Linked DNA regions of Kluyveromyces lactis. The protein of the gene in region 3 purifies or fractionates together with the protein of the main gene of each other region. This does not show direct contact. Links are inferred from orthologs where the notes say so. Each region holds a gene or a part of one and is shown on either strand. Other genes may lie near its edges. The genes, in order: RSA4, NMD3, BUD20, ARX1, REA1, NOG1 and NSA2.

Region 1 (4,541 bases), on a different chromosome or scaffold from region 3:
AGAAGGAATTCAAGTTGTTGAAAGAGAAGATTGCTAGATGTATGTCATTGTTAATATCTCACTTCGACATCACAGGGGCAAGATCCAGAGAAGCTGAAAGGATTGATGCTCAACAAACAAGACCAAACTTTGATATCGATGATGCTGACGATGATATGATTTTGGCTGTTAATTCAGAGATGCGTATGAATGCAATAACAGATATGGAAAAGGTTGTCAAAGTCAAAAGGCATTATTCTGTTGGTAAAGTTATTGATGATACCGATAATCAAAGCAAATTGTTGAAATCTCTTGCTTCTTCAATATCTAACCTTTCTATTAGATGGCAAAAGCGTAGCTTTATCGGAAGTGGTAGCTTTGGTACTGTATATTCCGCTGTTAACCTAGATACTGGTGATATTTTAGCGGTAAAAGAGATCAAAATCCAAGATGCTAAATCCATGAAGCAAATTTTCCCATCTCTCAAAGAAGAAATGCGCGTCATGGAGATCTTAAATCACCCGAATATTGTTCAGTACTATGGTGTGGAAGTTCACAGAGACAAGGTTAATATCTTTATGGAATTCTGCGAGGGTTCCTCCTTAGCCAGTTTACTCGAACATGGCCGGATTGAAGATGAAATGGTAACTCAAGTTTACACACTACAATTACTTGAGGGATTGGCATGTTTGCACCAATCTGGAGTTGTGCACAGAGATATCAAACCGGAGAATATCTTATTGGATCGTAATGGCGTTATCAAATATGTAGATTTTGGTGCCGCAAAACTCATTGCAAAGAACGGATCAAAGAGGATATCACTGGATGCCAATAACAAATCTACAGGCGGGAAAGATATGATCGGAACACCGATGTATATGGCACCAGAAACGGTGACTGGTCAAGGACACGGAAAATTCGGATCCGATGATATATGGTCTTTAGGTTGTGTTGTACTGGAAATGGTGACCGGTAGACGTCCATGGGCTAACTTAGACAATGAATGGGCTATCATGTATCATGTTGCAGCTGGTCACCTTCCGCAATTCCCAACCAAGTCTGAAATTTCATCTGCGGGTAGAAAGTTCATAAGCAGATGCTTAATACAAGATGCCAATAAAAGAGCAACTGCAATGGAATTGTTACTTGATCCCTGGATTTCTCAAATACGTAACATTGCATTTGGTGGCAATGCAGAATCTTTTAATAATGAAACTCATAACTAGTTCTGATAGACATAAAAGTTTCCTCCCCATGACGATCATATGTAACAATTGTAACCATAGATTTTTTTTTTGTATAAGTATTGTATGTATATATAATAATAATAGGAACTTTTGTTTGACTTTTTTTTAAACAATGCCGGATCCGTATAGTATCAATGTAACATGCACTTTCCGTTATCTGTGAGTTGCTTGCCAGTAAGTAAATTGCAGTCTAGGAATTTTTTGTGCCTGATGCTCCCCATAAGGTATTCAGAGCATAGTTTCAACATAATAAAGATTTATATTACCCGGAAGTGGTGAACTAAAAGAAATTCTTAAGTTCAAGAAAATCTTTTGAGATGCCGATGAGATGAGATGAGATGAGCTTCAACTACCAAGTCGACTTCCCTAAAAAGGAGAAGGTTCTGGTGAACGATATTAGTATTCCAGCAATAATCACAGGTCTTTTCTCGAAAGAAGTTTTTAGGTAATTAAACGAGCCCAAAATAATTCTCTGAATTTGTTAGGCCAAGCAATCCAAACGAAACATGGCAACCTTACTCCCACCGCCTTCAAAGAAGCAAAGAAGAGAAGCTCAAGCTGAACGTGGAGTTGACCTTATTCCCAAAGACCTTCCAAATGTTCTCATTAAATTCCAAGCTTTTGACAGTGGTGAAACTGTTGGAGGTTCTCTAAGGGTTCCAGGTGGTATTTCGGAGCAGCAACTGGAGGAATTGTTGAATCAGTTAAATGGAGACTCGGCAGATCCTGTTCCATACACGTTTAGCTGTTTAGTTAGCAACAAAAAGAAGGATGCAGATGAGGAAATGGTAGATATTAGAGATAATCTATATCAATCCATTTTAAAACCAGGTTTGAAAACTACCGAAGATTTTTTGACTCTAGTGTATACCCCAAGAGCTATCTTCAAAGTAAAACCAGTAACTCGGTCGTCTTCTGCAATTGCTGGTCATGGCTCGACAATTTTGTGTTCTGCATTTGCTCCAAATACAAGCTCCAGGATGGTTACCGGTGCTGGTGACAATACTGCATGTATCTGGGATTGTGACACTCAAACGCGTATGTGCACGTTACAAGGCCATCACAACTGGGTCCTATGTTGTTCCTGGTCTCCAGATGGTGAATTAATCGCCACAGGTTCTATGGACAACACAATTAGATTATGGGAATCAAGCAAAGGTAAGCCTTATGGTGATGCTTTAAGAGGTCACTCGAAATGGATTACCTCCTTATCTTGGGAACCAATCCATCTTGTCAAACCTGGTGACAAACCGAGATTAGCAACTGCATCCAAGGATGGAACTATCAAAATCTGGGATACAACAAGAAGAGTTTGCCTTTTAACCTTATGTGGCCATACGTCTTCTGTTTCCTGTGTCAAGTGGGGTGGAAAAAATGTTCTATACAGTGGTTCTCACGATAAAACAATCAGATGCTGGGACATGAATTTGAACGGTAAATGTATCAATATCCTAAAATCACACGCCCATTGGGTTAATCATCTTTCACTTTCAACAGATTATGCATTAAGACTCGGTGCGTTCGATCACAAGGGCGAAACTCCTGCTTCACCTGAAGAAGCCCAACAGAAGGCTCTGAAAAATTACGAAAAAGTTGCTAAAAGAAAAGGTGACTTCGAAGAACTGATGGTAACTGCCAGTGACGATTTTACTATGTATCTGTGGAACCCCTTGAAGTCTACTAAACCTATTACCAGAATGACCGGCCACCAAAAGCTCGTCAACCACGTTGCATTTTCGCCAGATGGCCGTTACATTGTTTCTGCATCCTTTGACAACTCCATTAAATTATGGGATGGAAGGGATGGTAAATTCCTATCCACCTTTAGAGGACATGTAGCGAGTGTCTACCAAGTAGCTTGGTCAAGCGACTGTAGACTACTCGTTTCTTGTTCCAAAGATACCACTTTAAAAGTCTGGGATGTCAAAACTAGAAAACTGTCCGTCGATCTACCCGGTCATCAAGATGAAGTCTACACTGTAGATTGGTCTGTAGACGGTAAACGTGTATGTAGCGGTGGGAAAGATAAAATGGTCAGGATATGGACTCATTGAGTGGATCCACTGCATCTGAATAATTAGCATGATTAAATTATAGACTGCCTTATGTATGTTATAGCTTCTTTTACATTTATTATGAGGTGCACAGGTGTCCCTTCTTCTTACAAGCTGAAAATTTTGAAAAATTAAAGCTTCAAGCATAGTTGAAAAGATGAAGAACGATTCAGCCGGCATTTACCATAGGAAATCGATAAGTTATCTATATAGTAAGAAAGGTGTACACCGGGAAAACCTGCATAACCACACAACAGCCTACTAATAATACAACGGCTAGTTAATAATGCTTACAAGAGTTACAAGAAGTTTTGCGGCTATGAGCCCAAGATCATTTCGGATTTGTACTAGACTACAATCAACCCAAGCACAGCAACCACAACAACAGGAAAACTCAGAAATTGAGCTTTTAAATGAACTTAAATCAGAAATGGACAAATTGGGACCATTATCTGATGCCGAAAGTGCCGAACTCAGTGCTTTATTTGACAGTCAAAGTCCTTTTACAGTATTCCCAAAACTTGAAGACGTAAGCCCCGAGGAAGTAGTGGGAGCCGCTCCATTTGGGAAGAAAACATATTTCATTCAAAGAAGTATTAACGGAAATTTACCTGTGTACACTGACTACAAAAACAGCAATAAGATTGTCACCGAAATCAGAAAGATTCAAGGGGATCCTGTGCAGCTAAGAAACGATCTACAAGAAAGGCTTCCTTTCATTCCAAAGAAGTACTGGAAGGTGATACTTCAATCAAATAAAATTATCATTGAAGGTGATGCCACGAAGCACGTGAAGAGGGCTCTGGCTACCACCTTTTGAGCTTATTCCCATGACTTTAAAACTTACAGGAGATGCGTATGTAAATATTCTTACATGGTTGTTTCTTCCTGCATGTGATAAAAACTGTAAATAGTGTCAGTAATAATAAGATATATTAACGACTTAGATATATACATCGGGCATACTTGTATTACAAGATTGGGACTTTTTGGTACGTGTAGAAAACATCTTTCATAGCCAATGCATTGTCAAAGATCTCCTTGATGAAAGTAAAGTCTCTGCTTCTTTCCCAAGTGACATAAAGGTCAAGGCCATTAGCATACTGTTCAGTGAATGTTTTTACCAAATATTCAGTGTTGATACCTCCAAAACCCTGACTTTTGGATATTAATTCCCATCTGTTGCCGTCTTCGGTAGGGATTAAGGAAGAATTATCTATAGGTGTAATCAAATAATTGAATGATGGCCATTTAGATGACA
Region 2 (4,580 bases), on a different chromosome or scaffold from region 3:
ATTTCATTAGCTTGAGATTGAGATCAATGGATTGTTCTGCTATCTTCACGGGATCCATCAATGAGCTTAAGTCAGCCGATTTCGGAGCTAATTTTCCAAGACCATTTTTCTCCCAACCGCTGACCTTAAGACATCCTGTATTGCTCCCGGTAACTCTGATCTCTGCCGCGAAGCTGGAATTATCATCACGAAGGAAACATATGGTGTACGTATTCCTTGTGGATATTTGACTCCAAACCGTTAGAAAGTTCTTAGTAACTGCGGCAGGAATGCCCTTCAGCCGACTGAAGTCCTTGAAGATGACTTTCTGACATACTTTGAGATACTGAGGTGATGCTTCCTGAATCTTTCCATCCACAACACAGGAGATAAAGCTGTTCTGCTCCCATATATCCTTCTTTACACCATCTTCGATTGATTTTGTTGAGATTATTTCGTACGATGACCCCTCAGACTGGAAAGTAGGCATACAAACCCAATAATAAAACTTATATTTCTTCAAATCGGCGAAGCTTATGACATAAAACCTAACACACTCTTTGAGACCATTCTTGAGGCCCTGTTCTAGTAATTGCTGTCCCTTTTCCTTGATAAACTTTACTTTGTCACAGGATTTGAATGATTCGATAGTATTAAAATTCAACACTGACCCTTTCAAAGTCACTGCCTCATTATTGAGAACAGGATCGAAACTGTCATCTCTAAGCGAGAGTGAAACAGTGTTAGAAGTGATATTTTCAAGGTCTAGTGCAGAGAACAATTCTTTCTCAGCAGAGTCTAACTTGAACACTTCAAGTTTTAATCTTGATAATTCATGGAAAAACGAGGTATCAACAAAAGACTTAAAAGCTGGTGAAAACTTAAGATCGTTAAGCATCTTTCCTGGTACTCAGGTTTTGTTCCATGAAGAAAGAATAGTACTTCTTGGTTTACTTTATTTATCTATGCACTGCAGTTAAGGGTATAGTGTATCAGGGTAGTATTACGAATCGACGTCTTTTTTACAAGAATGAACTAAACTCAGGAAAGCATTGTTACCCTGAAACATGCCAATTATTAATATTCACTAGTGTACACTATACAAGACGGCCATTGTATCATTGATCTAATGCAGATGATGAGTAAATTCAACTAACTTGCCTATCTCGTAAATATATATTGTAATTATTGTCCAAACAAGAAGAGACTAAACCAAATTCTATAGCATTTCTTCACCTTGTTGTTGATCTTCTAAAGTCATCTCATCCAACTCATCTAATAGTTCATCAATATCAATTTGTGGAGCATCTTCATCTTCATCTTCTTCCATCTCGCCTTCGTGCTCTGCTGGTTTGTTGCTCTTATATAGATTGATTGTTTGTCTCATTTCCTCATCTTCCTCCAATTCTTGTAGGAAAATCTCATAATCTCTTTCAGCACGTTCCATTTCTTGTTTCTGTTGTCTTGAAGTGTAGTCTTGAGAAGCTTCGATATCCTTGTGTTCCTTAGCCATTCTCTTCAACTTCCATTTTCTGTTCTTCTTTGTCTTTCTTTGATATAGTTTCTTGATTAGAACGATGTCTGGCACGTAATCAATATTTAAACCATCGAAGAGCTCTGAGTTATAGTTAGAGTTAGCGATAAAGTAACCCATGACACTGTCACCAGGATGAATAATACCACCAAGATGTGTTCTAACGTAATAGACTTGGTCATTGGAGCCTAGATCGGAAGATCTAGCGACAGTAACGTCAGCCAATACCCATTTGTTTCTAACTTGACCAGTAGGTTCAACGTCCAATATGATGAATTCAACTAGTTGGGACACTTCAGCTAATGCACTGAAAGGTTCACGCCAGTACATTGGAGCAGTCAAATCACACGTTTGAAGAGTGGTTGGATCCAGGAACTGGAGAGAGTTAGAAACCTTGGAACAGATGACAAATTGACTGATGTTACCCAAAGACTTGGCAAGCTTCTTAGGTAAAACAACCAAATCATCTCTACAAATTGGAACAATTTCCACGGAAAAAGTGAATTTGTAAGTAGATGAACCGGTATGGATATCTTGAGAGATTAACTCCTCGGATTTTTTACATTTGATAGGTACGACAGCATTTAAGAAATCCAACATCTTAGCAGCATGGTTCTTTTGAGAATAGAAGAAATCTAAACCATCCTTTGCCTCACTAATGGAAATGGTGTCAACATGGGCATTGTGCTTCAAAATCAACTGTTCTAAATACAAGAAAGTTCTCTTATGAGGAACTTTTTGTCTAATTTGGACGTTTGCTCTCCATGTATTAGTGGTATAAGATCTAGCACAGTCCGGACATTGCATGGCAATCACCACATATTCCACTTCAAATGTTTGCTGGATAATAGTGTTAGCCATAGCTTCACCTTGAACGGTCAATTTGACCCGGATACGTCTAGAATGAGGTTCGGTCCAGATAAATGATGCATCCACTAATCGAACTTTGTTTAAGCCTTTCAAACGACGTAAACACAACGCCAAAAGTTCACGAGATTCCAAAGAAGCCCTAATCCATTGGCTTGGTGGTTGCAAGAACCTCTCACAGTTTCTACAGAAAGAAACATTAGCCTCTCTGGGAATACCTTCTGTAATATCGACATTCAACTTAATACAGTCGTAACACATAACTAGCCCTGAGGACCCATCCATAGGCACACCACAACTGCAACATAGCACTGTAGCATGCTGATGTTGCATGTGATTCTGATCTAACGGAGTGTAATTCATCGAGTTCGGTGGATACTTCTGCCCTTGCTGGAATACCTATAATGCAGACATTAATCAGCTTTCAAGCACTATCAGACTGTGCAAGAACAAGATGCGATGAGATGAGCTTTCTCAAAATTTTTCTTAAAAGAGACTGCGAACCCTCAAGAAAAAGAAATTTTGCACGTGACTTTGAACCTTGGATTTATGCATCTATGCATATTAAGCTAGTCTATATACAGGAGAATTACACTTTATAAAGAATGATTAACACGTTCAACGTTTGGATTTCTTTCCAGCAAATAGCAAGCCAAATTGTTTCTTGGAATGTTTTTGTACTTTAGGTTCCATATCTTCTTCATCCGAGGAAGAGTCGGAATGCGATGAAGTCGATTTGGTATAATATTGGTTTTTACTGTGGTCTTTCGAAACATTTGTGCCTCTCGGAAGCTCGTTACGTATCTTCTGTCTTTCCTGATTCCTTATCTTATGTTTTAACGAAACCATAGCCTGGGAGTCGTCTTTCCTCACTCTGTGTATACTGTTTCTCTGTTGCACGTCCTTGGTAGCTCTTTTCTTTTTGGCTAAAGAGCTGACCTTCTTATCACTTTTGATGAACTCTCCAATGGTATGTATATCGGTATCATCAGTACTTTGCGCGTTCTCAAATGATAAACCGCTTCCTATTTGAATGACAGGCAACTGGAAAAATTCCTTCTTTGATTCGTTGCTATCCTCCTTTGCTAGATCATTAGATGACGTCTTAGAATCCTCTATCCATCCGAGCACCTTAGCAGTGGAACTGCTAAACCCATTTTGAAATTTAGCAAGTAGTGCTTGCTTTTCTTTTATCTCCTGAGCTCTTGACATGGCTTGGTGAGTCTGTATTACTTGTTAGATTGTAAGAGTATACCTTTATGGCGGCCGATGCATCTCATCTGGTTCGATCTCATCGCTTCAAAGAATAAGTTACCATTTTTTTTTCAGTGATTACTCTCTAAGGAAGAATCAGAATTCACGTGACTGATTTTTAAATGGAATATGTGGATAGGTCTATCAACTATGTGAGTTTATGTACGTCTATGAGTCTTTTCTTTGGATTCATTCTTTCTCTTTTGGAGTTTCCTTCTTTCACCAAAACCTTCTTTATCCATGGCCATGAGACTTTCTCTTTTTGCTGCTGTAACCTTAGTTAACGACTTCCTAATCACGGCTGTATCACCTACATCGGTGAACTCTTCCATCTTTTTATTAATCCTTTCCTCAATTGCCTCTACTCTTTGAATATCCTTTTCTGTTACAAAACATAGTGATTCACCATGGCGTCCGGCACGCGCTGTACGACCAGCTCTATGAATGAAAGTATCTGGGTTGCCAGGAATATCATAGTTTACAACAAGTTCAACAATAGGGATATCCAAACCTCTAGAAGCGACATCAGTAGCGATAAGAACTCTCGCAGCTTGTGCCCTGAATCTTTGTACAGAGTTCGTTCTTTCTTGTTGTGGCATTTGACTATGAAGTGACGTGACTCTTACATCTAAAGATTTCAAAGTTCTTCTTAAGATTTCAGCCGTTACGGTACGATTAACGAAAATAATGCAACTTGATTTGACGTATTTCTCACTGGTCAATATCTGGTATAAGTATGACTCTTTAACGTGCTCTGGGACTAGCAAATATGTCGTCTCTAATGTCTTCGGAATGGCGACGTTATCAACAGACTCAACCTCAAAAGTAAACACAGGAGGTTTGCCCTCCGTCTGTGGAGCGTCTGATAAAGCTTTCACTTGGTCTGTCATAGTAGCAGTGAAAAGGAGATTCTGTCTTTTGTTTTTCGGTGGTAAAATACTTACAC
Region 3 (3,796 bases):
ATCATAGTGAGCCTGAGTAAAGCCGATGAAGCTATTGCCACCAGAACACAACCAAGTATTAATGCCAGTAAAGCAAATACACTACCCAATAAAGAAGTGAAAAAGAAGCCCACTGGTAAATCTGAAAGTGTACAGATAGATTCAACTAGAGCACTACAACTCCATGAAGTGCCCGATGACAATTCGTGTCTATTCCATGCTATATCCTATGCTGTCTACAAGAACATTTCACTGTCATCAGAACTACGGGGAGTTGTGGCGTCAGAAGTCCGGAGAGACCCATTTGAATATTCAGATGCTATTCTTGGCAGGCCGAATCATGAATACAGTGAGTGGATAATGAAACATTCTTCATGGGGAGGTGGTATCGAGATTGCAATATTATCGAAACATTTTCAGTATGCGATATACGTGCTCGATGTGGATGCACGTAAATTCGAGAAATTCAACGAGGATTTATACGATAAATTTATTATTATAGCATATAACGGAGTTCATTATGATACGGTAGAGATATTTGATGGAACTCAGCATCAAACTGTATTTGACATCGGAGAGAAAGATACTGAATTCCTTTTACAAAAAACACAGGAGATCGCGAAGAAGATGAAAAGAGAGGGGAAGTCTTTCAATACTGCAAGAGATTCAATTTTATGCAATACTTGTGGCACCACCTTGATTGGAGAACGAGAGGTGAGCAAGCACGCTGAGAAAACTGGTCATGTTGATTTTAGGCAAAAATAAAACAAATATAACCATTGAATAATATTGAAGAAAGAAATAGCACTTAATATATGAGCGTCTGTATATCTACCAGTTTATATAATTGCACTTTCGGTGTATTTCTCTTGTGTTAAATGATAATATACATTGAAGAAAAAGCACAGGAAGTGAAAATGTTTTCCTGCATCTAATCAGCCATTTGAATTTCCCCTTCAGCAACTACAGCTTCTTGCTGTGCTTGTTCCTGTACTGCACCATCAAGGTATGGCAAAGTGGATTCTGTTGTGCTGACGTTGGCCAAAGTGGTATCAAGATGTGAGGTTAATATCTTTTCGTTTTCCTCCTTTTGAGGACCAATTTGAGATTTGATCTGCTCTACTCTAGCCAAGAACGAGTTCACACCACACCCAACAGCAGCATCTGCTACCTGTTGAGTGTATGGAACACCTTTCAATTCCTTCACCCTTCTCTTATGGATTTTAGTCTTCAAATGAGTCTTTAAGGCATATGCAGTTTCGAAATATTTAGCACAGTGTATGCAGTAGTATTGCCCTAGACCCGGTTTAGTTTCATCTATCGGCTGATTCAGGAGACTATCAATTTGCTTTTGAGATGTAAGCTCTTCATAGATCAAATCAAGATCCTTTGTTCTTCTCTTCGTCTTGTAACGTTTAACAGAATATCTTCCCATTTTCCTTTCTTACCTTCTCCTATATTTCTGACAGGCTGGTACCACAGATTAACTTAAACTATCAAACAAAACCAATGAGTATCTAAGTCTCATAGAGAAAGAGATTCAATGATGTGTGTTTGTACTTCTTTCTTCGCACTTGGCTTTATCGTAGAAACACCGAGTACATAAAATTTTCTGCAATATCATGTCTCGTCTCATCTCATCTCATCTCATCGACTTGGAAAAGAAATGAAATTTCAATCAGCATCACGTGCATAACAACGCATCTGGGACTGCTATCCCCAACACCCAGACACTATTACATATTGGCATTCAACATATTTTTATGATACAAAAACAACCACAATAGGAAATAGAGCACGTGATTAGTAACTATTTTCTTTGATTTGTTTTCACAGTAGTTTCTTACCGTGTGACTTCGCTACGACTTTCCAATCTTTTTCAAGTTTCTGACAAATGCAAAAGCTTCCTGCAATAGTTGGTGGTAATCATCGAGATTTTCAAATGTAATAAAAAGAGAACATAATTTAATGATAATTATCGATATCTTTAACATAAGGTTTGATCATTCGCTTCAATTTTGTTTATTATTTACAGGAACACCGATCACCTATCACCGTCCAAAGTAATTCAAAATGGCTAGAAGACCAGCTAGATGTTACAGATACCAAAAGAACAAGCCTTACCCAAAGTCTAGATACAACAGAGCTGTTCCAGACTCTAAGATCAGAATTTATGATTTGGGTAAGAAGAAGGCCACTGTCGATGAATTCCCATTGTGTGTCCACTTAGTTTCCAATGAATTGGAACAATTGTCTTCTGAAGCTTTGGAAGCTGCTCGTATTACTGCTAACAAGTACATCACCAAGATGACTGGTAGAGATTCTTTCCACTTAAGAGTCAGAGTCCACCCATTCCACGTTTTGAGAATCAACAAGATGTTGTCTTGTGCCGGTGCCGATAGATTGCAACAAGGTATGAGAGGTGCTTGGGGTAAGCCTCACGGTTTGGCTGCCAGAGTTGCCATTGGTCAAGTTATCTTCTCTGTCAGAACCAAGGACAACAACAAGGACACTGTCATTGAAGGTTTGAGAAGAGCTAGATACAAGTTCCCAGGTCAACAAAAGATCATTATCTCTAAGAAGTGGGGTTTCACTTCTTTGAACCGTGAAGAATACGTTAAGAAGAGAGACGCTGGTGAAATTAAGGACGATGGTGCTTTTGTCAAGTTCTTGTCCAAGAAGGGTTCTTTGGAAGAAAACATCAGAGAATTCCCAGAATACTTCGCTAAGGCTTAAATTTTTTATGTGTTGAATCAATAATAATTTCATCGTCATTTTAAGTAACCTAACCTACATACTATTTTAGCTTACCATTATGTTTTGGAGTTAATTCAATATCATTTTTCTTTCCTTCTCTTTAATCTCAAGTATGGACAATTCTCCCGAATAAAATGATACAAACCTATCCTTTGGCAATTACAATCATACGTAAATAATACATATAGATCCGCTTGGCAAAAACTAGGATTCTGTTTTACGTACAAATAATATTTGATCCAATGATGTACTTTTCAAGTCGAATTTATGGTAATTTCCAAGTGCCATATATGCAATCTTAGCCTTCATCCTTTTTTCTAAACTTGTAGGTGAGATTCTTCCTCTCCCTTTACTTGTAAGGATCGACGATATGCTGAAGATATGTTCGATATGAGTCGATGAAACAGCAATGCTGTCCATTAGGTGATTGAAAAGTGAAAGGATGGGGCAGTTTTTGATATCAGCCCAAATCTTGTGATGAACGTCCCGCATAGTCAATAAGAGATATTCATATTCACTTAGTTTGGTTCCATTAGAAAGTTTGAACATACCAATAGTCTCTTCATAAACGGTACCGTTACAATTCATATGATCTTCAGTATACTGAACGTGCATTTTATTGTATTGGCCATTGAAGCTTTGGACTTCTTTTAGAACCATTGAATAGAAAATGTACCGGAAATGTGATTCATCTATCCTTTGGTCATCGATGGTTTCACTGCCATCATCAAATACAATACTCATAATACCAGGTATACGTGGCTGAGATGTTGTGTCCATCCCGTTTTTCACTTGAATATTTAACATGGGAAATAAGATATCTGTAACAGCGTCACTGACACATCTTGACAAAAGCTCGTTATTCTTTTTATTGTTGCCCTTTTCGTACTGAAGGTTTAGTTTTTGCATGAGGTATGGCAAATTTCTGTACCCACAATTGAAATAACTAGCAACTACCAATAATCGTTCTTTCTCATAGGACTCAGTGTACTGTTCAATTTTACTCAAAAATCTCTCTATTTGAGTTAAAACCACAGTTATTCTGTCGTCATCCTTTGTA
Region 4 (4,742 bases), on a different chromosome or scaffold from region 3:
GTCCATTTAGTTCTTTTGGTAATTGAGCTGTCACGCATAACGTATGGGATAATTGAGTCTTACCGCACCTAAACTCCCCAAACACCTCAGTTATGGACATTGTCATTATTCCTCCTCCTAGTACAGAATCGAATTGTTTCGACCCGGTAGAGATAGACATAACTGCTTGACGAATCTGCCATTGCAGAGTTGCTGGAATAAAGCCAATGGTGATGATTTTATTGGCAGCTTCTTTAATCTTTTCTACCTTCACTTCCGATAACCCTCTAACTTTACACAAATTCCTTCTGGTCGTCGACAAACAAGTGTTAACGGTAAATATACCAGCAGTCTTCAATTTAGTTATATCAGACGCGTTAATTCCGAAGTTTTGTAACTCATCAATATTGACCACATTGGTTTTAGTTTCTGTCTCTGTAGACATGACAGCTTAAATAGAAATGGAATGGGACGTTTCAAGTAGAATGAAATGCAAAGTTATTGGTTTTTAGGATCACCTTCTCGCTCCTAGTTATGTGCACTAGATATCTCGCTATGTCATATTCATTGGTAGTTGGGTTTGTTGATTTGGTTTCTGACTCCAAATCCTTTTTATACTAAAATCTAATTAGCCGCCATCATTTTGAACGTTTTGATAATCCTTCCGAAGCAAACACACTAATAGTAGAAGAACTAATGACAAAGTTGAGAGCTTGAGTTCTATTATGATTTTGCTAGTGTACAGATCTACAAGATACTTAGAAGTTGCTATTTATACATTGTTTTTGTTGCAATTGGTTGGTAAGAATAAAGACTCATAAGAACAAGACTCTTGGGCTACCGAAATCAAACGAGTATTGAATATAATATGAACTGGTGTATCAATGTAGAGTTATTGTGTGCAGATGCGAAAAGGGTGTTTGTGTATGAAATAGAATTTGTTATCTGTTGAAGTAGTTCTATCAAAGAAGGTAGTTAATACTGGTAATGAATAAATTAGAATTTCATTTTCCATGGTTGAGTTTCTCTGATCTTCAAACCAAATCTCTTATCCTCGGACAATTGAGCCAGTTTGAATATACCTGCAACGATATTGCTTGCAGTATCCATAGAGTAAACAGAATGAACCCAGTTAGATTTTAGGTTTCCGCTGATTCTTAGCAACTCTTCATCACAGATGGCTACAGTGACACATTGACGGACCACAGGAACTGGCGTAGAGTGTTTTTTTAGCAAGGATTTCAACTGTAGGTTGGACAAACCTAGTTTAGGTAGAGGAAGCTCGAAACCTGGGTATAAACCTTTATTCTTTGCCATGGCGTCATAACTTGACACACCGGATGGGTTTGTTAGATCCAAGATCTTAGCCCAAGGAACGTGTTTTACGATGGTGACATCTCTGTCGATTGTTAGGTAGTTGTTAGAAATTTCAGAAAGACCTAATCTGAATGGCTTGATTTCTTGCTTGATGGTTTCGAAATCAGGCTCCTGTACGTCCAATGGGAAAGAATCAGCGATATGAGCTAATTTGGTAGGGTATACACCTTGTTTATCCAATCTGGTCAACACTTGTCTAGCAGCTCTTAACTTTAGAACATGGCTCTTTGAAAAATCACGGCAGATGGCACCTGGTCTAGCCACCACATCAGAGGATTCAGATTTACCGGAGAATTGATCGACAGTGTGTAAAGTGATCAAACCTGGCTCCAATCCTTGCAATGGAGCCAACTTCAAATCGATCATGTAAACTTCACCCTTGACAACGGTAAAATCATCTGTTGGGACCACGGTATCTTCGGTGATAAATGGGTTCTTACGCTTGACATCAACAGCAGTTTCATTGACGGTTCTAGCAAGCATAGCAGCTTCCTGATGAGACTCAGTCCAAATGACACCTTTGAAGTCTCTTTCGACAATGATATTTTCGTTTTGACCAGAAAGGAATCTTTTGATTCTTCTGATACGAGAACCAGGCACAACGCAACAATTATAAGATTGAGCAATGGTGTCAACTACGGTCCTAATCAAGGAACCAGTGACCTTCGTAGCGTTGAAATCAGCTGGAAGTTTGGTCAAATCGTTTGCAGCAGCTAATAAGTTAGTGACGGACTCAACAGCGATATGGGTGGCAGCTAGAGCATCAGCTTTACCACCTAGCAAAGCAGCTTCAGGTAGCAATTTTCCAGATTGGGCATCCTGAACGGTTGGGTAAATGACCACGGTGTGGGACACGTTACAAGTGTACCCATCGATGTGACAACCCAAAGTGATCTTAGCGACATCACCAACTTTCAAAAACCCAGACAAACTAGAAGTAACACCGTTACATAGCTCGATCGATTTGGTAGATCTAGATTTTTGGTTCCAACGGGACAAGTTTTCGATGTCATCCACTTCAGGACACCAGTTCTCGTTTATTTCATCGATATCAATACAAGTTGGCATTGAGATTCCCTTCTCGTTAACCTTATTGTTGAACTTAGTACTTAAACAATCGGCTATGAACGAATCAGTCAATAAACAAAGTTGATGAATCGGTAGCGGCTCCATAGACTTCTCATGATACATCTTATTGATCAAACTGATCAAAAAGTTTAAAGCAGTCTGAGCAATTTGACCTGCAGTTCTATATTTCTCAATTGTTGGTTCGATCAATACATTCTTATCTTTCAATAACACCTGAGTGTCTTCCTTTGAGATTTGTAACGCCATAGTACGGATAATTTTATCCACAAATTATTAGTATTAGCTGTTTTCTGATACAAAGGAGGGAACGATACACTATGATAATGATGTAAGTATGTACCTCGTTTCTCTTTACCTCATCTCATCTCATCGCTTTAAAGTTTTCACTGATACTTTTTTTTTCCAAATTTCTTTCCTGGATACAACCTTTCCTGCCACACAGCACTAAGATATTTCAAAAAATTTTCCAAAATATTACCCGGACCTCGATCAGAAGAGAATGAAAAAGAAATCACTTTCTGATCACGTGCGCCAAAAGTATTAATATTCGGGTAATGTGTATCATTAGAACTCATGACCCGCATATTATCCGGGTAATAGATCTGCTGCCCATGTTCCACCCAAACACCGCGCTGTGCACGTCACTTTTCCCACTCTTTCTAACAACAATCCCGTCTGTCTAATTGAATCAGCACAATAAACTCTACCTACACCAGACGAAACTGTCAGATATCCCATAATAAGTAGAATATCAATACTCTCCGCATCATCAGCTACCCAACGGTTCAAGTTTGACCCCAATTAGAGCAAAATTGACCTTGCTTATACCCACTTCTTGTTATTTCAAGTCCCTTATCTATACCGACTGGCTGGCTACGAAATTTTTTGAAGTTTTTTTCCCAAGTTCACAAGTATTTAAAGGCGGATTTAATTGTGAATATGATGAGAAACAGTTGTTGCGTGATTAAGAACCTTTTTTTGGTCTTTCAGTGATACTGAGCCAAGCAATTGATTAATTGACTGACTGATTGATTGATTGATTGATTTTTGTCAAATTTTTTGGAACAAGGAATCGTTCATTAGTTGGCTTTTTTTTGTTTTAATATAGAATCAGGAACTCAGAGCTTCTTCTTCTTTATTTCTTCTCTATACAACATATTTTGCCATCACTACTGCTGAGTGTGTATTTGTGTGTTCTAATTGTTGGTCGCTATAGTAGTTAATACCGAAAAGAACAATAAATTAGGCAAACCATGCTATCTTTGAAAGCTCAATCCTCTGTGGTTGGGAAGTCCAGCTCTTTGAGATTGGTTAGAAACTTTTCTAAAAACGTCCGTGCTTTGTCCCAGGTTGCTGATGAAACTAAGCCAGGTGATGATGACCTAGTTCAAATTGATTTGCCAGAAACCTCTTTTGAAGGTTATCTTTTGGATGTTCCTGAATTAAGTTATCAAACCACCAAGTCCAATTTGCTACAAATGTACAAGGATATGATTATCGTTAGAAGAATGGAAATGGCCTGTGACGCTTTGTACAAGGCTAAGAAAATTAGAGGTTTCTGTCACTCCTCTGTCGGTCAAGAAGCCATTGCCGTTGGTATTGAAAACGCTATCACTAAGCGTGATACCGTCATCACCTCTTACAGATGTCATGGTTTCACCTACATGAGAGGTGCTGCTGTTCAAGCTGTGTTGGCTGAATTGATGGGTAGAAGAACTGGTGTGTCCTTCGGTAAGGGTGGTTCCATGCACTTGTACGCCCCTGGTTTCTACGGTGGTAATGGTATCGTTGGTGCCCAAGTCCCATTGGGTGCTGGTTTGGCCTTCGCTCATCAATACAAACACGAAGATGCTTGTTCTTTTGCCTTGTACGGTGATGGTGCCTCTAACCAAGGTCAAGTTTTCGAATCCTTCAACATGGCCAAGTTATGGAACTTACCAGCCGTCTTCTGTTGTGAAAACAACAAGTACGGTATGGGTACCGCTGCCGCAAGATCTTCAGCCATGACTGAATACTTCAAGCGTGGTCAATACATTCCTGGTTTGAAGGTTAACGGTATGGATATCTTGGCTGTTTACCAAGCTTCCAAGTTCGCTAAGGACTGGACTGTCTCCGGTAACGGTCCAATCGTTCTTGAATACGAAACTTACAGATATGGTGGTCACTCTATGTCTGATCCAGGTACTACTTACAGAACCAGAGATGAAATCCAACACATGAGATCTAAGAACGATCCAATTGCAGGTTTAAAGATGCACTTATTGGAATTGGGTATCGCCACGGAAGATGAAATTAAG
Region 5 (3,916 bases), on a different chromosome or scaffold from region 3:
CGTCAGGTTTCTGGTTGGAGCCTTCAGGCTGTTGCTCTTCAGAATTGGTGGAAGCCTCTTTGATTTCTTGATGGCGTCTGTGGAATTCTTTCAATGAATCACCTAATTGCTTTAAGCTTTCTTGCGCGTCTTTACGAGATGTATCTGTGATTTCTTCCTGATTGTTTTCCTGGCTTTGCGATTGCGCGTTACCAGAACTACCAATATCTTGTTGTTCTTCAGAATCAGCTGCATTAGAGCCTTCACCCTTTGCACCCGAATCTTGTTCGACAGCAGCATCTGTATTTATTTGATCTTTGTCATCTTCTACACCCTCTAATCCGTCGAGGCCCTCTACATCTTCACCCTTTTCATCTTCACCTCCTTCTTGTTTTGGTTCATCTTGCGGGTTTTCAAGTTCACTGTCTGAATCTGCTATTGCTTCTTCTTTGATATCTGGTTTCTCTGTATCATCCTCTTTATCAAGAGCCTCTTCGGTTTCACTATTATCATCTCCATCCATATCAACGTCTTCATCTGATTCGCGGTTTTCATCAGCGTCAGATTCTTCATCAATGTTCGTTTGTTCATTTTCTGTATTTTCTGGCTGCTTACCTTCTTCTTCCTCCTCATCTACCTCCATTTTATCCTCGAAATCTTCTTCTTCTTCTTCAGAGCCATCTTCTTCATTATCTTTGTCAGAATCCAAATTCATGTCCTCTGGTAGGTCCATTGTTTCTACTTCCGGGACGTTATTTTCGAGATTCTCGTTTTCATCATTTCTAACTTCATCTTCTTGTTCTCCAACATCTTCTTCCTCTTCTTCTTGCTCTTCACCGTCATCATCGTTATCTTTTTCTTCAGTTTCCATTTCATCAGTTTCTTGGTTTTGTTGGTGGTCTTCCGGCTTGACATCATCTTCTGCTTGTTCCTCTGATGCTTGTACATCATCGGCATTAGATTTTTCAGGCATGTTCTCGGAATCCTTCTCTTTAGAATCATCTTCAGCTTCCTCTTCCCACATCTTTTCATCCAATGCATTAGGATCATCCTCGTCAAGATTATCAATCTCTTCATCTAGCTCGTCTTCATCGTCCTCGTTGTTATCATCTTCTTCTTCGTTTTCTTGATCAGATGCATTTTCAAGGTCTCCGGCAATATCGCCTTCCATTTCAACAGCATCATCTTCTTTTTCTTCGTCGTCTTCGTCGCTGTCATTTCGTTGATCCTTGTTCGGTTGTTGAGCATCTTCTAACAAATCCTCATCTTCTTCAACATCTTTGCTATTATTTTGAGCTCCATCTCCATCTCCAAGACCTGTACCCTCCTGCAAATTGTTATCTTCGGTCTCTTCTGAAGGAGGCTCTGGAGAACAGAATCCATCTTTAGCGAGATTGTATAGCATATTCGAGAAGATATAAGTCGATTTGCTAAATTTGAAATAATTCTCTGAAGTTGTATTCAAAATGTCATTCAACATGCTGAAATAGTGATTGATAAATGGCATGGTAAATGAAACAGCTGCAGCAACCATTGGAGATGATTCTGCCGTAAATGACGTTGACTTAATTGTAGTGACAAGATCATCAATCAAAGCAAAGATCTTGTTGCAGTTAGCAATCTTGATATTTGAGACAATTCTTCTATTAAGCTCGATTAGCCATTTATCATCCTCTTCAGATATGGGAGTAGTATTGTTTTCAACTAGTTTTTGGACAGAAATTAAAATGGCAGTACTGATCCGGCGTAATTTTCCATCAAGTTCTTCCAGCGAAGGGTCAATAGTATCAAAGATAACATCTCCATGAGAAAGAGCTTGTTGAAGCCATGATTCCAAAAGATCATACACAAAGAATGAGTTTGTACCATTCATAGCTGATATAGCAGAAATAAATTCCTTAAGGAAGGCATTGAAGTTTTCCAATATGTTTTCAGTGGTATCACTGTATATCCTAAACATTTCAGATTGTGCTAAGAAATCTAGAAGTTTCTGTTTAGACGAGTATAAATATGAAACAGTGGATCTTGGAACCTCATGAGCTGTACTGTCTTCCACGTACTCAAGAATGTAATCGATCAATTGAGGCAACCACTTACATATGTGCCTGAACGTTCCAAAATTATAAGATAGATCGAAATGTTTCAAAACATGGCAATCCAGGGAAACACTCTCAAGGTCTAATCTCAGGGATTCAATTTTACTATAAGTGTGCACAAATATAGAGAGCGGTTGTCTGCTGGCAATCAACGAAAAAATTAAGTTCTCGGTCATGGCCATACCTTTTTCCAAGTAGGACACTGGAATATCGTCTGTTGGGAAAGCAATTGCATTTTTCAATCGTGGAAGCAGGTCCAAAATTCTAAAGAAATAGACATCAGAAGAATCTATCGCGGTTTCTCTAAATGATTTTGAGTTCGTCAACACTGATACAACACTTTGTTGGATTTTTCTAATATCTTCTCTAAAGTTTGATTTCAAACCAATTCTTTTGAGCTCCTTTAAGGAGTCACTGAGTAATTTACTCTTTTGGGTCTTCAAGGTAGCCAATAATTTCTTCTTTTCCTTTTTGTAGACTGTAGGGGTTTCTTCACGAAGCCTTTTCGCTTCTTTTGAGATGTAAAGGGCATACTCTAACAAATCTGGGTAATTTTGATTCGTGATTTTGGAAATATAAATAGAAAGATTCTTCTGTGTGATGTAGATATCTTTTAAAGATTTTGATCTACTTTCCCATCCCGGAATATTTGTGACAATAGATTTGGCCCCAGAAACATCGATAGACCTGAAGTGGGAGATTGTTACTCTTTCAAATTGTTTAGTTACTGGCAGAGCGGAATCTATTCCGCTTTCGATCATAGAAGTTAAGGGTTCGGAAAGTAGCGTTCTATATTTGCGAACAATCTTGAACAAACTATTGTGAGACCGGCGAGAGCTTTGCTTCAAAGCATCGATATTCACATCCTTCCAACTTGCCAAAAGAATCACCTCTGATATCTCTTTTTCAAGAAGCTTTTTTCCTGTTTTTATTTTGTCGTTAACAACAGAAGTAAACTGCTCATAGAAGGAGATGATATTTTGGAGGGCTTGTGAAATTATTGATGTCTTTCCATGCATCACTGAAACATGTTTGCAGAATGCTTTTACAAGTCTTAGACGATTTGCGAATTCTCCCAAAGTGCTTTTACTGAAGAAAACATTCAAAGCAGAAAGAAGGGAACCAGATCTCTCAGAAACGTCAATATTGGCATTTTCTGTTCCCACTATAATCGTTTCGAAAAGATAGAACCACCAATTTCCAATGGTCTTTGTACTGTTCATATCCTCCATTTGGAATAAAGCCTTCCAAGTGTGTAGTTCCAACCTTCTCCAAGAAACTATGAGATTAGTTATTGAGTCAACGTGAGCCTGTAGGGAGACTTTAGAAGATGCATACTTTTGCCACTCCACCACGAAGGTGTAAATTTGCTCTATTTTCTGCAAGAGTCTTGCCATTGGTGTTGAAACAGGATAAGAAATAAATTCTTTACAGACGCGGAAAAGATCCCGCAACGTTGCATGCTCGGGCCATTCTTTGAGTAAAGTGTTGACATTGTTCCACAAACCTTGGATTACATGCTGTGCCTTTTTGGTTTCAATTCTCGAAGTGCCTCTGTAAAAGTCAAATATTTCAGTGTTGCTAGAATCTTTGAAAGAATTAGTTTTCTCAGACAAAGTCTTGATGGCAGCAAGAACCATTGATTCGTTCAAGTTATATAGCTTGAAATCAGAGCAACTTCGTAGCAAAATAACAGAAGTTTCAGATCCTTTTCTCATCACTTGACTCAAGGAAACATTTGAAGCGTCCTCGAATATTTCAATGTAAATTTTAGCGATCTCGTAGTACGTATCGATTAAAGATGTGGCTGATGATTCCTCAACAGGAGAATCGAGTGAAAC
Region 6 (5,198 bases), on a different chromosome or scaffold from region 3:
GGTCTTGGATATGCTCCAAAGCGTTGTTAGAGCAAAACTGAATATCTTGTTTTACCTTCAATATGAGTCTTTATAGCTCAATGCTCTCTTATTTGCTCATTTTGTGACATCTTAAAACTGACACCGGGAATTTTTCTTCGAAAATCATACGAACACTTTTCAGACGGAAAGCACCTTTTACAATTGACATATACAAAGAGCATATATCGTTTTGTAGAGTTTTATTGGAGCTTTTATGTCACCCGTACTTTCAAGTGCTAAAATCTCATGGCTTATATGTTACTGAGAGTCAATTTTTTGTGAAAGAGGCCTACCTAGATGTGTGTTGTGAAGCCGTCCTTTTTTTTCTTGCCCTGTACTAAGGGCACATAGGAGAGAGAAAAAAAAAACTGTCGCCTGATAAACCGATAGAGAAATAATAGAGGCAATCAAATATAACTCAAGCAAAATGATGTTGGTCGACGGTTAAATATTCCAGGTATACTGAGATTGTTTTGGTGAAATATTTATGTCAGTGTTTCCTTTTTTTCTATTTTATTTAGATCCTACAATTTTCATCCTTTTTATTCTTCAAGATTAGTCAATAACTTTCAAAGATAAAATTGTTACTGAGGTCAGAGGGATGTTGGTTATTTGGTCAAGGAAAAGCAAATCAAAGGTATAACTCTTATAATTTTACAGAGTACGTAACTATTTTACAAATAAAGGAGTAATAATTAAATTTAACCCACCCAATGCAGACAAATAAATGAAAGTAGTGACTAATATATATAGTTCAATAGAGATAGAAAAGAAATTGGCAACACGATAATATATGTTCGAAATCACCAGTGATGGAAAGGAAGGAAGAACAGACAGTTTAACGGAAATCAGTCTTACCAACACCACGCTTACCTGAGAACAAATGTTTTGGTAGAGAGGCAGTAGCATGTCTGTCAGATTCACCGGCTCTGGCCATTCTGTTTCTTTCTCTTCTTTCTAATTTGGCCATTCTTTCAGCCTTCGATCTCATTGAACCATCAGCAACACCGTCTGTCAATCTATCTGTCTGTCTTAGCTTACCAGCTGGAGCAGAATCTTCTTGATCACCGTATACCACGTCAGCACCAGTTTGCTCATATCTGTTCTTTTCAGCAGCGACTCTTTGCTTATCTTGCAAAGCAGTCATATCGTGACCTAAAGAAGACATGTGCTTCTCCATGTCACCATATGTCTTTGCCAATTTAGAACGAGGCATGGTACCACGGTTCTTCAATGCCTTTCTGTTTCTTGAAGCATTGATCATCTTCTTTTGTCTATCTCTAATCCATTCTGCCTTTTCTCTGATCTCAGAGATTTCGTCAGCATCAAATCCTTCGTAAGTTTCTTCTTCGTCGGATTCATAGAAGCCTTCAGATTCTAATCTTTCTTCTTCTTCCTCTAAAGCTTGTAATTTGATTGCGATTTCTGGATCCAAGAAGTCATAAACGTTCTTACCATCTAAGATTTCTGGCATGACATCGTTCTTCCATTCATCGTCTTCCAATAGATACTTGTCCTTCAAATTAACGTTGTATACACCGGCCCCACCGTTTTCGATTTCAATTTCTTTAGCCAATTTTCTTCTGTTTGGATCTTCTGGATCATATTTCTTCATCTTAGCGATGGCTTCTGGAATATATGGAGTTCTGTCAATACCATCATCACGCTTTTGAGGTTGAGCGACGTGGATCTTGTTTAAGACGTTAGTGATTCTAGCTTGAGATTTTAGCTTGTTTTCAATTCTGGAAGCCAACAACTTTTCACAAGCCTTGTTTCTAACAGCCATAACGTTATCTTCTTCATGACAAGAAGTGGTCATGATTTCAACACCTGGAACTTCCAAAACAGTATCCAAAAGTTTCTTACGTTCTTCGTCTAAATCTTCAGGTTTAATGATATCAGTCTTGTTAATGACGACCATGACGGATTTATTGGCAAACAATGGTTTGATCGAATGGAATAATTTGACTTGAGCTTCAATAGAGAAACCACACTGTTCTGATAGATCCATGAAGTACATAACAGTAGAACGCAAATGAGCAATAGCATAAATGGATTGCATTTCGACGTTGTTCATTTCATCCGTAGGTCTATCCAAGATACCTGGAGTATCAATCGCTTGGAATCTCAAGTATTTATAATCAAAATGACCCACATATAGCGACTTGGTGGTGAAAGCATAAGGTTGCACTTCGACATCAGCCTTAGTGATACATCTCAAGAAAGAGGATTTACCCACATTTGGATAACCGCAAATCAACAAAGTTCTGGTGTTTGGGTCGATGGATGGCATTCTACCCAAATGTTGTCTAACTTGTTCCAAATACACTAAAGGATCCTTCAACTTCTTCACAATGGTAGCCATTCTACCAAGAGCGGCTCTCTTCAATTGTTTACATTGGAAAAGAGATTGACCGAATTTTAACAATCTTGTGTAATCTCTTTCAACTTGTTCGACCAATGTCTTAGCACGACTCACAGCAGCCAAAGAAACTTTGAAATGATTCTTTTCATACAAAGTATCCATCAAATCCCTATGGAAAGGATGCACGTCGTTAATATTAGGGAAACCTTTCAAAATATCATCAAATTTTTCCACGAACCCTTCACCGGTGAACTTCACCTTTCTCATGTAAAACGCTCTGATACGAGTGATATTGAAACCTGGTCTAATAACAGTAGGTGTCTTTCTTTGAGTTCTGTTCAACACAATGTCCAACAAGTCATTGGCAGGAGCCACGGTCGGAATATCTTTCCAGGATAATTGCATTGTTGCTTAATTGATTTGACGTAAACTTTGGGATACACGCACACACGGGGACAACAAAAAACAATTAAACTAGCAATAATGCAGTTAAGCTATGCTTAGTTGTTTGAACAAACTTCCAATCTATTCAAACTACCTGTCAAACGGATGTCACACTGATAATCAAGCTCTGTCTATCACTTCGAATGCACAATGAGATGAGATGAGATGAGATGAGCTTGCCGTTTGGAAAATTTTCCCACTACTGCAAACCTTTGAAAAGAAAAAAAAAATTGTGCTTTCAGGATTTCTTTTTCGTATGGATCTCAGAATTGACCGTTAAAGGCATACACATTGGTTATGTCACGTGACTAAAGCACTTTCTTTTGAGACTGTCGGGGTAACAATATATTTTACTGTTAAAATGTATGTGAACATTTTATTTACGGTTTACGTTTCAACTTTCAATATATACAGAAATATCAATGAGATTTTGATCTGAAAGAATACAGCTTGAGTCCAATCTCTAGATTCATTATAACTTTCTAATCACTACCTGATAATTGCCTAATTTCCGGTAGAATTGCCTTATCCGCCTTTTTTTTTTGAATTTTTCTCTTCAAATATAGATTTGTTTCGTTACTATGTCGGAACCAAGCCCACAATCTACGATAGCCATTGCCAATCTACTCAGGACTCATAGCGACTTGAAGCAAAGACAAGGATTGTTCCAATCGCGTTTAGTTGACTTCTTCCGTTATAAAAGATTTGTTAGAGCTTTGAAAAGTGATAAATATAAGGCAAAGTCCAAAAAACAACCCGAATTGTACCCCGCTGTGACAAGCGATGAAGATGCTCGTAACATTTTTGTTTCCTTAATCAAGGCCCAATTTGTCGTACCAGCGGTTAAATTACATTCTGCAGAATGTAAAGAACATGGTCTAAAGCCAAACAAATCATATCCAAACTTATTATTATCGAATAAAGCGACTCTACAACCAGATGAATATTACGTCTGGTCTTATAATCCAAAATCAATTTATGATTACTTGACTGTGATCGGTATCATAGTCGGTGTGCTAGCATTCGTGTGTTACCCATTATGGCCTCCATATATGAAACGTGGTACTTACTACTTATCCATTGCAGCATTGGCACTTATCGGTGTATTCTTTGGTATTGCAATTGTGAGATTGATAGTTTACTTGTTGTCATTAGCTGCAGTTAGCGAGAAGGGTGGGTTCTGGCTCTTCCCAAACTTGTTCGAAGATTGCGGTGTTATAGAAAGTTTCAAACCGCTATATGGATTTGGTGAAAAGGAATGCTATAGCTTCCTGAAGAAAGAAAAGAGAAAGCATAGATCAGTTGCAAAGAAGCAAAAATAACTTCAATGTAACGGACTTCCATCCCAGACTGTACATTAGCAATTTAACTATCACAGAAGGTGTATGTTCATTCTTTCGGTGAGAATCACATACTAATATCACATATAAACATACAAACATATATAAATATAGATATATGTACTCATACTAATATCAGTAGTGACATCTTTGGTTTCTGACACTAGAAATCACCTTCTTTTAAAGTTTTATTTTGCATGAATTGATTTAAGGTCAAGTAAGAAAATGAAAAACGCAGCAACAGTAATGAAAACAGTAATGAAAGCAGAAGTTGCAAACAGTTAGAAAAATAATGCCAACAGGATACCACTCGCTTCCAATCCTAGTATAGGTATTATAACTGAGCGAACGGCCGCACCACAATATTACAAACTTCTGCAACATGTCACAGAAGGAAATATCGCAGAATTCTAATAGAAGAAGCTCTAAATATGAAGATGAGTTGAGCAACGATGCCCCGTTTGAAATTTCATCACATCAGTTGGAGTCAAGTACAACTTTAACAGATGTTCAAATGAGTAACCTTCTACAAAGGCATTCTTCTCATCGTCGTGATAGGTCGAGAGATCATATGTTTTATTCTCATTTGACACAACAATCATACTCTCTCAACAGAAACAGTCTTCTCGATTCCATTACCGTGGTCAGGCCTTTGATCAACGATTTGATCACTGAAAATAATCAAAGAGCCATCTATATTCCAGAGCATTCTGAATCTTTGGACGTATTGGAACTTAAAGTCAAACTAGATGGTAGGGAGAATATGCAACTTGATAAGAGTGCTTTGGCGCAGTTATTCAAAACACAAGCGTTATCTGCGATTGACCATTTGATTAATTTACAAACTCGTGTACAGGATACTTCTTCAAAAGTTTTCATAACAGGCGATTTGAACTCAGGAAAATCTACGTTATGTAACGCATTTTTGAGAAAGAAGGTTTTGCCTGAGGATCAATTGCCTTGTACCAATGTATTCTGTGAAATTTTAGAAGCGAGAGAGAACGGAAATATGGAAAGAGTCCATGCCA
Region 7 (3,863 bases), on a different chromosome or scaffold from region 3:
ATTCGAGGGATAATGAAAAATAATACTCAAGAAATACGTAGACGCCCGCGTAGGAAATATCTGCTTTCCTATTGCCCTGCCTAGCCAGACCGGGGGCGCCGCCCGCGGTCTAGGCAGATCAGATGAGCGTAGACAGGAATTTGAGAAAAATGATTCAGGGAAAACCAGGGTTGCTCACGTGCCGGACAATCTGTCTGGACAGACATTTTTCACGATCGAAATAGCTGTTAGGCAGAGAAGTCCACCGTGGCCAGGATTATTGTCCGGCACTTCTAAATCAGGACGAGAATGTGAATCAAAAAGAGGGTTGGATTGAGCGAAGAGGCTGGATCAAAGGTACTGTAGTCACCTGCAACAGTTCTAATATGAGAATCTGTATAGTGCTACTTTCAGTATCACTATAACAGTAATTTAAACGAGACTCAAGTTGGATCATTAATTGGCAAAAGCTTTCTGTAGATGCAGAACAGGGGGAAAGAAGGTAAAGGTTAATGGGTAAAGGGGCTGTCCGTTAGGACAAATTTCAATACATACTGGTGGGGTTTGGAAAAAGCACTGATTGCTTACGGATCAGTTTCTGTGGTGAAAACTAGAACGTAGATCCAGAAATCAATTTGATCTGGGGAACTACTTCGTTTCCAGTGGGATCAATGATGTTCTTTTCCTGAACAACGTCGACGCTAGTATCTGTATATGGACCAGTGCTAGAATCTGACCTAATAAGTGCTGTTTTGAAGGTAAGTTTGTGTATATCAAGCGCAAAGAATGTGTATGTATAATACTGAATATATATATATATATAGATAAAATTATTTGGTATGATTTGGTAGGGTAGTACCCTACTTTATTGTGAAACAATAAAGATGAATACTTAGGGTAACCTGAGGGTCCAGAAGGTCAATTGACACGACGTGTGAGTAGCAATTAGTTCAATGCATTGGAATAGCTGGTATCTCAACGGCAGCGAGGCATGAAATTGTCAGTCTCATTGGCTATAATTCAGTATTTAACGCTAAATATATGATTAAATAATGATGATTTAGCCAGTACTTTCTAATAAGGGAACTCAGTTCTAAAATGAAATAGTAATATACAATAACGTAGCGGAGTGGGGGGTGATGCAATAGGGAATAATTGAGATGAGTAGGAATTTTGGTAGTAATAGGTTGTACTTGTTCTTACACAAGTAGCACAGCGTTGACACAACCGTCTCTATCTGGCTCATTCGTGATTTGAGCATATTTACCCCAAACCACTTTACCACCAGAAGTAACCATACCTAATTCCGAGACGTTCACTTCAATAATAGTACCCTTGGTTAATACACCCAACTGTGTGTACATTGGCGATTGAGGATTCTTCTTCACCGCAAGAATTGGCAAGAAAACGGTGACTCCAAGTTCCGGATGCGTCACATTAGCCTTCTTTTGTCTCAAAGCACTAGGTCTGATAATCCTTTCCATCTTCACAGGCCTTCTTGTAAACCCTTCACCAACAAACGTATGTTTCGTGATCATTCTCTTCCATGCCTTAGACTTAGACTTACCTGTCTTAACAACTTTGAACATCTCTTCCTCACTGATACCTCTGACCTTAGGCAAAGGAACAGAAAACTTGTCAGCCTTCTCCAAACGCTTCTGCTTGATGGAACTGGATATAGCCTTTGCAGTGTTGTTCTGTTCTCTGTCTAACAAATAAGTAGGCAAAGCCTCCCCGTTCTCATCCAACGGTTTGGACCCTCCTTTAACTTTACTCTGCTCATGAGCACGGATCTTCTTCTTCATAGCAACCTTCTCAGCATAACGCTTCTTAGCAAATTGCTTACCCTTCCAACCAGTCAATTTCTGAGCCTTTTCAGAGATCTTATGAGCCTCACGGGCTTCTCTCTTACGTTTTCTCTCATCGTGGTCTAATCTACGACCATGTTGCTTGATGTGCTGTTCGATATATTCGTTTTGAGGCATCTTTGTTTTATTGTAAGAACGACTTGTTCGGTGATGACTTACTTCTAAATCACAAACGGACACACGGACTCCTTGAATGGACTTCTTACCACATGTTAACCCATGCGATGAGCTAGTTGTTCAAGTTGTCTTTGTATGCTTTTCTCATTGAAAGAAAAAAATTCAATAGGAAATGTCGAAAAGAAACGTAGTGAAAAAAAAAATTTGGAATCAAGCGATGAGATGAGATGAGATGGGTATCAGCCAGATACAAGTTTGGTTGTCTGGTGTGGGTTTGGCATAGGTTCGATCTACTGTTATTGATGTATAAAACCTCATTACATTCTATTGACAAGGGTTACAGCGGAAATATAGCCATGTCTGAGGAGTTAGGAACTGTTTTGAAAACGATTAGAGATTCTTTGAAATCTTGTGGAGAAAGCTTGGATAAGTTAGAAGAAGTCTATGATGATGAGGAGACCCATCCTTTCCAAGGTTCAGCGGTGGTAGGTCACAAAGGTGATAAATTAGAAAAAGTTTCTCTACTTTCTTTGAAGAATGGGAGTATGCTATCGTATTTGAATTCGCTTCTGTTGGTATTGGGACAGAAATTGAATAAAGAGATGGTTGTTGATGAGGGTAGAGTCAGGGCAGTGGAACAACGAGTTGTTCTTGAAAGAGGTGTGAAGCCCTTGGAGAAGAAGTTAGGGTACCAGCTGGATAAATTGACGCGGGCGTACATTAGACTGGAGAAAGACGTTGAAGAATCCAAGAAAAGAGCCGAATTGCAGGGACTGAGTGACGTACGTGCTTCCCAGGAAGAAGTATCAGACTCAGATTCTGATAGTGAAGAAGAGATGCAATATAGGCCGAACAGTTCAGGAATGGTCAATAACACATCAGTTGGAGGGAAAGCCAAGGGGAAAATCGCTGTCAAGAGTACTCACAATGAAGAAGATGTGGATGATAAAGATAACGTTTATAGACCACCTAAGATCAGTGCCGTTCTGCCACCAAAGCAACATCACTTCGAGGATAAATTCAACGCACAAGAACATAAGGATAAGAGTAGCAGGTCTCGTATGCAAGCTATGGAAGAATACTTGAAGGATTCCTCGGAACAACCGGAATGGGAAACTTCTATCGGTGCCAATATCGTCAACCATGGTAGAGGTGGTGTGAAGACAGCAAGAGATACAGAACGTGAACGTGATGTTCAAAGATTCGAAGAAGAAAATTTCACTAGATTGAACCCCAACGGATCCAAGACTGACAAGAGAATGAAAAAACAAAGAGAAATCATGGCCAAGGTTAATATGATCGCCGGTGAAGATTTCAGTATCTTCAACTCCAAGCGTAAGTTGGAGGATAGTACAAGCAGAAGAGGTAATAAGAAATCTAGAAATGCTTGGGAAAGAGCCAAGAAGAAGTTGTAAACCTGAGGTCCTTCTTTTTCTATGTATAAATAGGCTAAAATATCCATACGTCTCTATTGTCATCATATAGTGTCAAATACGTAGTTTATAAATCGAATGATAACGGTGTTGCACTGCTCAAACTCTAGCTTTGATGTGGTTTGTTTCGTTTCGTTTTGTCTCGTTTTCTTCATATCAAGGTGTAATCACCAATAATTAATTAATACAATCTAAGCGTTCCAACTTTGCAAGATATAATCACCACCTATCACCCCTACTAATCTCCTACCAGCGTACAACTTCCAGCGCCCCTGATGAAGAACGAATACACCAGAAAGAAAGTCTCAGCAAAGGATAGGAAAGCATGTCTGATATGTGGTAACCCTACAGTCACAGTTTTGTTCAATGGAAGCGGACCTGATTGGTTTTATACATGCGATATACATCTAGTTGATAACCCGCAGTTTGTACAGCCTCTATACCCAAAAGAGTATCACGAGTCTCT

Evidence for each region.
Region 1: the proteins of BUD20 (region 3) and RSA4 purify together in Saccharomyces cerevisiae (affinity purification with mass spectrometry; 5 studies listed by BioGRID, with this or other methods). This does not show direct contact. The link is inferred for Kluyveromyces lactis from reciprocal best matches to the Saccharomyces cerevisiae genes BUD20 and RSA4.
Region 2: the proteins of BUD20 (region 3) and NMD3 purify together in Saccharomyces cerevisiae (affinity purification with mass spectrometry; 7 studies listed by BioGRID, with this or other methods). This does not show direct contact. The link is inferred for Kluyveromyces lactis from reciprocal best matches to the Saccharomyces cerevisiae genes BUD20 and NMD3.
Region 4: the proteins of BUD20 (region 3) and ARX1 purify together in Saccharomyces cerevisiae (affinity purification with mass spectrometry; 10 studies listed by BioGRID, with this or other methods). This does not show direct contact. The link is inferred for Kluyveromyces lactis from reciprocal best matches to the Saccharomyces cerevisiae genes BUD20 and ARX1.
Region 5: the proteins of BUD20 (region 3) and REA1 purify together in Saccharomyces cerevisiae (affinity purification with mass spectrometry, with the first as the bait; 4 studies listed by BioGRID). This does not show direct contact. The link is inferred for Kluyveromyces lactis from reciprocal best matches to the Saccharomyces cerevisiae genes BUD20 and REA1.
Region 6: the proteins of BUD20 (region 3) and NOG1 purify together in Saccharomyces cerevisiae (affinity purification with mass spectrometry; 7 studies listed by BioGRID, with this or other methods). This does not show direct contact. The link is inferred for Kluyveromyces lactis from reciprocal best matches to the Saccharomyces cerevisiae genes BUD20 and NOG1.
Region 7: the proteins of BUD20 (region 3) and NSA2 purify together in Saccharomyces cerevisiae (affinity purification with mass spectrometry; 7 studies listed by BioGRID, with this or other methods). This does not show direct contact. The link is inferred for Kluyveromyces lactis from reciprocal best matches to the Saccharomyces cerevisiae genes BUD20 and NSA2.

The regions. Positions count from the first base shown.
Region 1 is NC_006039.1:748,005-752,545, forward strand, and holds RSA4 (Rsa4p), read left to right. Parts: upstream 1-1,732; coding exon 1,733-3,280; downstream 3,281-4,541. Other genes in the region: mitogen-activated protein kinase kinase kinase SSK2, read left to right, coding at 1-1,205; IMG2 (mitochondrial 54S ribosomal protein mL49), read left to right, coding at 3,567-4,100; ALG12 (dolichyl-P-Man:Man(7)GlcNAc(2)-PP-dolichol alpha-1,6-mannosyltransferase), read right to left, coding at 4,252-4,541. UniProt on the Saccharomyces cerevisiae protein: Involved in ribosome biogenesis. Required for processing and efficient intra-nuclear transport of pre-60S ribosomal subunits.
Region 2 is NC_006037.1:458,375-462,954, forward strand, and holds NMD3 (ribosome-binding protein NMD3), read right to left. Parts: upstream 2,744-4,580; coding exon 1,199-2,743; downstream 1-1,198. Other genes in the region: ATG7 (Atg7p), read right to left, coding at 1-877; NOP19 (Nop19p), read right to left, coding at 2,999-3,592; ATP-dependent RNA helicase DBP8, read right to left, coding at 3,793-4,580. UniProt on the Saccharomyces cerevisiae protein: Acts as an adapter for the XPO1/CRM1-mediated export of the 60S ribosomal subunit. Unlikely to play a significant role in nonsense-mediated mRNA decay (NMD).
Region 3 is NC_006040.1:485,969-489,764, forward strand, and holds BUD20 (Bud20p), read right to left. Parts: upstream 1,415-3,796; coding exon 911-1,414; downstream 1-910. Other genes in the region: ubiquitin-specific protease OTU1, read left to right, coding at 1-744; RPL10 (60S ribosomal protein uL16), read left to right, coding at 2,053-2,715. UniProt on the Saccharomyces cerevisiae protein: Involved in pre-60S ribosomal particles maturation by promoting the nuclear export of the 60S ribosome. Involved in positioning the proximal bud pole signal.
Region 4 is NC_006042.1:1,097,731-1,102,472, forward strand, and holds ARX1 (putative hydrolase), read right to left. Parts: upstream 2,692-4,742; coding exon 976-2,691; downstream 1-975. Other genes in the region: recombinase DMC1, read right to left, coding at 1-424; PDA1 (pyruvate dehydrogenase (acetyl-transferring) subunit E1 alpha), read left to right, coding at 3,699-4,742. UniProt on the Saccharomyces cerevisiae protein: Probable metalloprotease involved in proper assembly of pre-ribosomal particles during the biogenesis of the 60S ribosomal subunit. Accompanies the pre-60S particles to the cytoplasm.
Region 5 is NC_006042.1:1,840,941-1,844,856, forward strand, and holds part of REA1 (AAA family ATPase midasin), read right to left. Parts: coding exon 1-3,916. UniProt on the Saccharomyces cerevisiae protein: Nuclear chaperone required for maturation and nuclear export of pre-60S ribosome subunits.
Region 6 is NC_006041.1:2,149,900-2,155,097, forward strand, and holds NOG1 (putative GTPase NOG1), read right to left. Parts: upstream 2,792-5,198; coding exon 860-2,791; downstream 1-859. Other genes in the region: Sec63 complex subunit SEC62, read left to right, coding at 3,412-4,152; FZO1 (mitofusin), read left to right, coding at 4,553-5,198. UniProt on the Saccharomyces cerevisiae protein: Involved in the biogenesis of the 60S ribosomal subunit.
Region 7 is NC_006041.1:1,204,656-1,208,518, forward strand, and holds NSA2 (rRNA-processing protein NSA2), read right to left. Parts: upstream 1,965-3,863; coding exon 1,179-1,964; downstream 1-1,178. Other genes in the region: small subunit rRNA maturation protein LCP5, read left to right, coding at 2,192-3,379; VFA1 (Vfa1p), read left to right, coding at 3,673-3,863. UniProt on the Saccharomyces cerevisiae protein: Involved in the biogenesis of the 60S ribosomal subunit. May play a part in the quality control of pre-60S particles. Under normal, rapid growth conditions, high levels of NSA2 would allow the progression of pre-60S particles through the ITS2 processing.